Linked DNA regions of Cricetulus griseus. The protein of the gene in region 2 purifies or fractionates together with the protein of the main gene of each other region. This does not show direct contact. Links are inferred from orthologs where the notes say so. Each region holds a gene or a part of one and is shown on either strand. Other genes may lie near its edges.

The links.
Region 1: the proteins of Tgoln2 (region 2) and Galnt2 purify together in Homo sapiens (affinity purification with mass spectrometry; 3 studies listed by BioGRID and IntAct, counting the BioPlex papers as one, with this or other methods). This does not show direct contact. The link is inferred for Cricetulus griseus from reciprocal best matches to the Homo sapiens genes TGOLN2 and GALNT2.

The regions. Positions count from the first base shown.
Region 1 is NC_048596.1:200,924,490-200,928,965, reverse strand, and holds the start of Galnt2 (polypeptide N-acetylgalactosaminyltransferase 2), read right to left. Parts: upstream 2,838-4,476; 5' UTR 2,780-2,837; coding exon 2,657-2,779; intron 1-2,656. UniProt on the Homo sapiens protein: Catalyzes the initial reaction in O-linked oligosaccharide biosynthesis, the transfer of an N-acetyl-D-galactosamine residue to a serine or threonine residue on the protein receptor.
Region 2 is NC_048601.1:64,348,676-64,353,226, reverse strand, and holds the start of Tgoln2 (trans-Golgi network integral membrane protein 2), read left to right. Parts: upstream 1-1,700; coding exon 1,701-1,706; intron 1,707-3,629; coding exon 3,630-4,101; intron 4,102-4,335; coding exon 4,336-4,551. UniProt on the Homo sapiens protein: May be involved in regulating membrane traffic to and from trans-Golgi network.

The DNA.
Region 1 (4,476 bases), on a different chromosome or scaffold from region 2:
AAGATGCTCAAAGGGAAGGCATTCTTGAAGTGCAAATCATCAGTTTAGGGAGGAAAGAGTAAATATGGCAGGGGGAGATACCTATACAAATGAAATGCAATTTTAAGCATTATGCATAAATTGCTTTAACATGGGGCCTCAGCATTTCGGAATCACAGTATTGAGTCCCCAGTTTTCCAGCAAATGCTGACAGTTGGTTTTCAACTCCTTAGTTCATTCAATCTGTAGTCTGGGGTGAGCTGAGTTTCTGGGTTTTGCTAAATGGGGAACAGCAGTTCTGAGAGGAGTTGTTTAGCAGGCAGGGCACACAGTGCACAGCCTGGCCTGGCTGCTGAAGCAGCAGAAATCCTAACAGGGTGCCCTCAGACAATCCCCAAAGCACAATCCTAAGGCCTGGGGCCCCATGAGAAAGAAAACACCAGGGCATGAAGAAACTAACTTGAGCTCGGCTATGAATGGTACCAAACACAAGAAGAAATGCAGCCAGCCTACAATAACTCCTCTCCTTATCATATTTCACATTCATGTTGTACAAGCTAAAGAAACCACACATTTTTTCTCTGTGGCTTTGGAGCCTGTCCTGGAACTAGCTCTTGTAGACCAGGCTGATCTCGAACTCACAGAGATCCACCTGCCTCTGCCTCCTGAGTACTGGGATTAAAGGCAGGTGCCGCCACCACCACCCAGCCACATTTTCTCTTATCATGAGGATGAACTAAACATGGGGAGCCTTCTAGTGTTTAAAACCACTAAGGGAGTCAAGATGACACTCCATGGCTTGGGGCATCCTCTGCCTCTATCAGGGTCCACCCTGCTATGTTAATGAGAACACTACTGAAATTTCAAAACCTACTGCATTTACATACCTCTTCCTCCCCCTGCAGACCACTAAACCACGGTATTTCCAGCCAGGATTACATTTTATGGCTCACTGACAAAACAGAATCCCAGGTCCTCAATCCATGTATAACTGTTTATTTCCCCCACTTTTTTTCTGCATGGTCTCCATCAGATCACAAAGAGGTCTTGGGCTTTCTTCAAACCTAAAGCATATGCCTCAGAGGCATCCAGAGGACCACTTTGTCTGCCCACTGAAGCCCCTAGAGGTAGGGCAATAACCCCTAAAAGGCGAATGCCACAGGTGCCTTTCTACATACCTGTGCTGATCTAAACCTTTGTCAGTTTGCTTTGTTTTGTGTGCATAGGAAAAAGCACTGTCAGCAGCCAGGCTATTCCCAAGGTGGGGGAGGCATCTACTGGGGAAGCAAAGTTGGTACAAACCACACCTGCTCAGAGCCACTGTCATTCTTAAAAAAAAAAAAAGGCTGCTGCCACCAGCTACACGTACTAGACTTAAAAACTAACAAGGGCTTGCAACACACAAACCATTCAGAAAGCAGAGCTGACACAAGCCAAACACAGAGAAACAGTGTTTCACTTTCGTTACTGCAAAAAATAAAAACGAAATCACAAAATCCTCCAAGAGCCGAATAACATACTGCCATGTCCCTCCCTCTACACCTGCAGCTGGGAATAACTTGAAGATGCCAGAAGGAAAAGGGAGTCAGCCAAGTGCCCTTGACATTCAGGGTCTGACTAGGGGTAAAGTCGGCTCAGTGACAGTCCTTCCTACTCAACACCCTATCCCCTATCTCCCGTAGCCATGGTCTATTCCATCCCGTCTTTTCCGGTGGTGGTGTGTCATTCAACATCAAGCAAGGAGGATTACAGGGCTTTGGAAAAGATAACTATGCTTTGAAGCTCATTAGCTAGTAAAACACAAGCCCCTGATGCCCAGAGCAGACAGAACCAACACACCGGCAAGGATCTCACGCTCTGTGTCTGGCCGGTACCAAGCCGAGATGACTGCCAAATCAGGACCTATAAGCTCTAAGCGACCCGTGGTCCCCACAGCCTCACCACTCAGCCCTCAGCGCAGAATCCATCAGAAACACACACGGAGGACAGGGACTTGGGGTTAGGAAATTCAAGTGCAAGAGGCTAGGCAGTTCCCGCCGCCGTGAGGGGCCAAGAGCCGAGGTGGGCAGTGTAGCAAGTAGGAGAAAAGGTCTGGCAGGACCGCAGTCCATCCTCACTCCCTCTGGGTGCAGGGTGAGGGGCATCGGGTGGGATGACTCCTCTGATCGCTCGAGCACAGAGGTTCTGGTGGGACCGAGATCCCCATGATCCCGGAGCAGGACGTCCAGGGTCGGGATTCGAGTGCGGGTGGAGTGTGGCTCAGGGAGCACAGGGTCTCGGGTGACAACGATCACCAAGATCCCGGAACTGGGAATGAGGGTCCTGGAGCGTGCTGGACGGAGAGCGAAGCAGGGGGCAGGCAGTGTGGTCCCTACGATCCCGGCACAGGGAGTAGAGCGCAGTGGATCCATAGAGACAACAGTCCCCAAGATCCTTGCGCAGGGCGTTAAGTGGCTCGGGTGCTCGCGCCCCCCGTGCAGGAGGCAAGTCGCTGTACCCAGAGTCCCTGGTAAGCGGAGCAGGGCCAGGGCTCGCACTCCTGGCCTGAGGGCCCTTAGGAAACTTGACTCGCGCGTGAGGGCCAGGGTCCCCGCGGCTCCTGCCCAGAGCCTGGAACCACTCTCCGTGCACGGAGCCTCCCAGGCCCGGGTCGGCGCACAGGCCTCGCGGCACTCACCTTCCTGCCGGCGCCGCCCGCGCCCGCGGCCAGAGCGGAGCCGCCCCCCGAGTACATGTAGTAGGCGATGCCCAGCACCCAAAGCAGCGCGAAGCACAGCAGCATCCGCGAGCGCCGCCGCATCCTCGCACTGGGCGGCCGCCGGGCAGCTGGCGGCGCGCGGGCGGAGCGCGCGGCGGGCGGAGCGCGGGGCGGCGGCGCGGGAAGACGCGGCAGCGGGCGGCGGGCGGCGCTCGGCGCCCGGCAGGAAGCGGCGGCCCGGCGGCGAGGTCAGGGAGCAAAGGGCGACCAATCGACGCTGAGGGGCGGGGCTGTGGGCAGGGCCTCGTCTCCATGGCAGCGGAGCCCCGCCCACCGCGCGTCCCGGGGAGTGGCAGGTGGCGGTCCAGAAGGCTTGCACGCGGGTTCCCGAAGACCTGGAGTGGTCCTAGTCCAGTCTGCAGAGGTCGCCCCGGCCCGGCGTCCGTCTCATTTACTATTTGGGTTATTGGGTTTTTATTTTTTATTTTTCCTTTTTTTTTTAAAGTACAAGGTTTCTTTCTATAACCCAGACTGGCCTCGAACTCACTATCTAGCCCAAGCTGGCCTCAAGCTCACAACACTCCTCCTGCATCAGACTCCTGAGTCTTGGGATGACAGGCCTGCACCACCCTGAAGTTCGAACAAGACTAAGACAGGGAAGGTAGATTTCAAGAAACTTGCTTGTGAAGAGCCCACCTGCTCTTAAGAACAAAATAGCAGTAGTTTTAAATAAACATGAAAATGAGGGGAGAATGATGGCAATTTATGTTTTTAAATCTTTTATTTTTTGTTGGTTGCTTTCTTGAAGGAATAAGTTGAGCAAAGTAATCCACTTAATAGACCAGACAGCCAGTTCTCTGACAGCAGCTCTCTGGTGACTGTAACCTTGGCCATGCCCTTGTGACTCTGTAAGTCCCTGTGTCTGAAAAAGATTTTCCAGTACTTGAGAGACTGCAACTATTTCTGAGATCTGCACAGACTTCAGGAGGCAGGGACTGACTGCCTGAGAGGTAGTCTACCCAAGCCTGAACAAACCAAAGGCACAAGCAAGCCTTTGCTACTAGGATTTTGAGCCTTTCCTGAACTCCAAACTTCTTGGAAATGAGGAGGAAGAGCCACTCAATTCCAATAGATACCCCATTCCAGCAGATACCCCATTCCAGCAGACACCCTAGACACCCTATTCCAACAGACACCCTATTCCAACAGATACCCCGCTCAAGCAGACACCCTGTTCCAGCAGTCACCCCGTTTCAGCAGACACCCTGTTCCAGCAGACACCCTATTCCAATAGATACCCCATTCCAGCAGACACCCCGTTCCAGCAGATGTCCTTCACTACTGCCAAGACCTTAAGGAAGACAGGCTTGTCATCACCATAAAGAGAAGTCCAATTCCAAGAATGAGACTCTGAACACTGTAATGACCAGGGAAGAGTTCTGCAAACACTGAACAATAGATAACAGGCTTGAAAAAGCCCAGAGTCTTGGGAAAAGTCAGATAAGTGGGAACAACTGTGGCGAAGGGAATGAAGGAATTGAGGAGGAAACATGACAAACCCTGAGGAATAAAAGGAAAGAAGAGCAGCCCCCCGCCCCCCAGCACGGGCATCATCTGCTTATGATTGCACCTCAGTGGAAGACAGAAGAGAAAGCTCTCACCTGGAAGCCTGGCCCCAAATGCTTCCTAACTGAAAAGCTGAAAGACAGAAAAAAAAATGTCACTGCAAAAAGAAAACAGAAAATTAATCATATTTCTGATTGTTGAAAAGGAATCTTAATGTTTCAAATGATACCCCA
Region 2 (4,551 bases):
AAAAAAAAAAAAAATTCTGCCTTTAATCCCAGCACTTGGGAGACAGAAGACCGATGATCTTTGTAAGTTTGAGGCCAGCCTGGTCTACAGAGTGAGTTCCAGGACAGCCAGGGCTATACAGAAAAACTCCATCTCAAGAAACAAACAAACAAAATAATACTGAGGAAAATGGTTCCTATATTTGCTTTGAACTCCATGCTCACATTTCCAGTTACCATGCCAACACCTCTCCTCTTGGCTATCACAATCATCTAAAGTGAAGATAAACCAAAGTAATAAGTAATTGACCAGAAGCAAATTCATTTCCTTCTGGTTCTCGAGCAGTGGTTCGTTCCTACCTCAGGGAGAAAGTGCCTTCCTTTCTCCCTCCCCGTCTTTCCTCTGCTTCCTTTCCAGTCTACCTCGGAAGCATATTGGTACTGCTTTCCAATCGCATCTCCAGTTTGACCACCTCCCATCATGCTCTCTGGGCCTGTGCACAACTTGGGACTGTTGCAAGAGTCTCCTGATCCCTTTCCCCTACTACCCAAGTCAATTCTTTGTGATACCAGCCAAGTAATGGCCAAACATTCTCCACTCTGATTACAACTTGCCCCTACTTAAACCTCTTCAGTGTCCAAGAGCTCTGTGTGAGCAGACCTTTTTTCCTCCCCTACCTAGTAATGTGGACACCAGGTCAGGTTTAATCATTTGCCACTACCCTCCCCACCCACCCACACCCTCACTAAGCCAATATCCTTAAATGTTAGTCAAACATTTATCTTAAAGCAGGCAGACAGAATTTTCTTTTAGAAAAAGTTTCCTTTACCAGTTCACTTCCTCTAGCCAAGGCAGAGTCAACATTCTAAAGATTTTTTTTTTTTTTTTTTTTTTTGAGTTTTGGAGACGGAACCCAGGGCTTCTCACATGTCAGGCAAGCAGCACTTTACCACTGAGCTATCGTCCAGCTCCTGAAATAATCTGGTAGACTTCTCATCAGATTTTTATTCTTTCTTCAGTAATGTAAGAGGGGAGAGGAAAAGGATGGGGAGAAGTGGTGAGGAGCCTGTTAAAGGGATTTTTATTCAAATAACAGAAAAGGCCCTTGTTTCTAAAACTGTAGTTGTGTTATGTACTAGTTCTTGAAATTTTGAAAAATTTCAGCCATCCAGGACTACATATCATATCATATCATATCATATATCATATCTCACATCCAGGCCTCTCACAGAGTGTTACTTTCTTATGGCTATAGTCCTTTTTGGCTGGAGTGGGCCCAGTTTACTTGTCAACCAGAGTTAGCTGACATATTTTCTATTGCATAAAAACTTACATTCTCGTCAACTCCCAGATCACTGGTTTCTCGGTCTGGCTCTGTTCCAACCTCCTTCTCTATCATTATCCTTGTCACACAACAAGCTTGCTCTTTAGGCTTACCCACAACACCAGGTTCACACTGCATGTGCTGCTCACTCTGCCAGGAATCCTCATCCCTCTCTCCTTTCATTAGTCCCCAGAAGTATCTACAACCTTCTGTCCTCAGTCCCATGGTTCATTCCTCAGCTGATACACACTTTTCATATTCTGCTTGGCAGTTCTTGGAATGCTTTCAATCAGTTATTTGTCTGGAGATCATTGCAAACTACTTGACAAATGTAATTTAAAGGTTAACTTTGGCTTACAGTTCCCAGAAATACACAGAGCATCATGGAATGGAAATCATGGCTGTAAGAGCAGGAGGTGGCTGGTCACACTGAATTTGTAGTCAGGAAGCAGAGAGGTATGAATATTCTATGTTGTGCTCAGCTTGGTTTCCATTTTATTCAGTTCAAGACTCGAGCCCATGAGATACTAATGTCCACACACAGGGTGGGTCTTACCACCTCAGTTAACCTTACCTAGATAATCCCTTACAGGAGTGCCCAGAGACTTCTTTCCATGGTGATTCTAAAGCCCATCGAGTTGACAATAAAAATGAACCATTACAGTAAACATGAATAAACATCTATGTGGTAGTTATGTACTTCACCAGATTGCTTACTTTATGAAATTAAAGTTGTATTTATTTATGTACTTTTGCTTTTTTTTTTTTTTTGAGACAGGGTTTCTCTGTGCAACAGCCCTGCATGTTCTGGAACTCACTCTGTAGAACAGGCTGGCCTCAAACACACAAGAGATCCGCCTGACTCTGCCTCCTGAGTGTTGGGATTAAAGGCGTGCACCACCACAACTGGCTATTTATGCACTTGAGTTTCACTTTGTTCTTCAGGCTGGCCTCCAAAATCTGGCAGTTCAAAAGATCCTTTGCCTCTGAGGCTGGAGAGATGGCTCAGAGTTTAAGAGCCCTGGCTGCTCTTCCAGAGGACCCAGGTTCAATCTCTAGCACACACACACAGCAGCTCACAATCATCTCTCAATTCCAGTTCCAAAGGATCCAATTCTCTCTTCTGGCTTCCTTGGGCCCCAAACAGGCACGTGATAAATAGGTATAAATGGAGACAAAACACACATGCACATAAAATAATTTCATAATTTTATTTAAAATAGCTTCTGTCTTAAACCTCCCCAGTTTTGAGGACCATTTAACGTGGCATGGTGGCACGCAACTGTAATCTCGGCAGGGGAAGGAAGACTGATGCTAACTCAAGGTCAACTGCTTTTTGGAGTGAGCTCCAGGTCTGCTATAAGCTGCCTGTCTCAAAACAACAAAAACAAAACGAACATAGTTTTTGGGATTTTTGGTTTGAGCTAGGACCTGCTATTTGTTAAATCATTGTTTACAAAATACCTAAACTGGCAAATGTTCATAAATTATTTCAAGCAACCTGTTTAAACAACCCAGCCCTATCACAGCTGATACAAGAAACAAATGCAAATAATAATCAATAGATGAACAAACAGCAAGAATTTAAAAAATGTATGTTTTGCTTACATGTATGTCTGTACACCATATTCGTACTATGTCTGTGGAGGCCAAAAGAGGGTGTCAAATCTCCTGACACTGGAATTACAGACCTTTGTTAGCTATCTTGTGAGCGCTGGGAATGGAACTCAGGTCCTTCGGAAGAGCAGTTAGTGTTCTTAACCACTAATCCATCATTTCTCTATCCCCTAAAATAGTATTTTCTTGTTTGTTTTTTTAAGACAGGGTTCCTCTATGTAGACTTGGCTAGCTTGAAACTAGACCAGGCTGGTCTCGAACTCAAAGATCCTCCTGCCTCTGCCTCCTGAGTGCTGGAATTGAAGGCATGTACCGCACTGCTGGGCTTCCCTAAAATAAATTTTTATAAGTATTACCTTTTTTTCTGCTTTCTTGTTTGAATTATTAAGAATATATTGCTGCCAGGCAGTGTTGATACACGTCTTCAAAGGACACCGCGCATAGGTGGTACACACAAAATAAATCTTTGATACCTTATGTCTTAAATAAATAAATAGCCCCAGAAGGGGGCGTGGCGAGACGCATGCAATCCTAAGCACTCGGGAGGCACGAGCTTGACGCTAGCCCGTCCGCAGAGTAATGCAGTATCAAATACAAACAAATTCAGAAAAAGGGGAAAAAAAATTCCGTGGTAAATTCAGAGGGCCCTAGATACCGTCAAGAAAGAGATTCCGACCAGGAACGAAAGTGATGAAGTGTTTGTTTCTAGACGGGAAAGCCCCGAGCAGAGTACGTTTTGGTGTGGAGTGAGAAAAGCACCACCAGCAACGGAGATGTCAGAGGAACCGGCGGACGACGCGGCGAAGCGGCTCCCGGCCCCGCGACCCCATATCATGAGCCTCGAGGGGCGACGCAGCGCCAGCCGCGCAGAACAACTCCCAGAGCACGAGGACACGTGCACAGGGAAGAGGCGGTTGAGCTCGTCAGGGTGCTGAGAAAAAGAGGAAGAGCGGGTCCTCACGTGCGCTGCACACTACCGGAATACTCAGCCGCTGACAGCCCGCACCCGTTAGCCCCGCCCCCGGGGCGGGGCTGCGCCGGAAGAGGAACAGCCCGCCGGAAAGGGAGTGGCCACAGGCTCGAAGTCCCTCGCGCCGCTCTCACGTCAGCAGAAGAGGGCGGAAGTGCAGACTACAGGATGCGGTTCCTAGTTGCGTTGCTCCTAAGTGTCGCAGTGGCGAGTAAGACCCCCCAGCCCCCGCCCCATCCCACCCTCTCCCTCAGGTTCTCTCGTCTTCACCTTGGCGGGTTACCACCGGAGCTGGCGTCCTCCTTTCCTGGCCCGACCCTCGGGCCATCTCCACCCTTCTCTCATTCGGCCATCACCGCTGGCATCTTCCAGCGCTGAGAAGCCAAGCCCCCTTCTCTTCTCCCAGCTTTTTCTTCCGAGGGCTTAACTGCTTTTTCTATTTCAGGTGTTACGCCGCATGAATCTAACCCACTCATCACCTCAGGTAACGATAATTCTCCGATTCAGTCTTCTAAAGAAAAACTCTCCAACCAGAGCCCCATGTCTCCTGAGAAGGAAGTGGAGTCTAAGCCGGGAGAGCCCGGCGGGCAGACGGATCAGAAGCAGCAGCCGGGAGAGTCAGGCGGGCAGACGGATCAGAAGCAGCAGCCGGGAGAGCCCG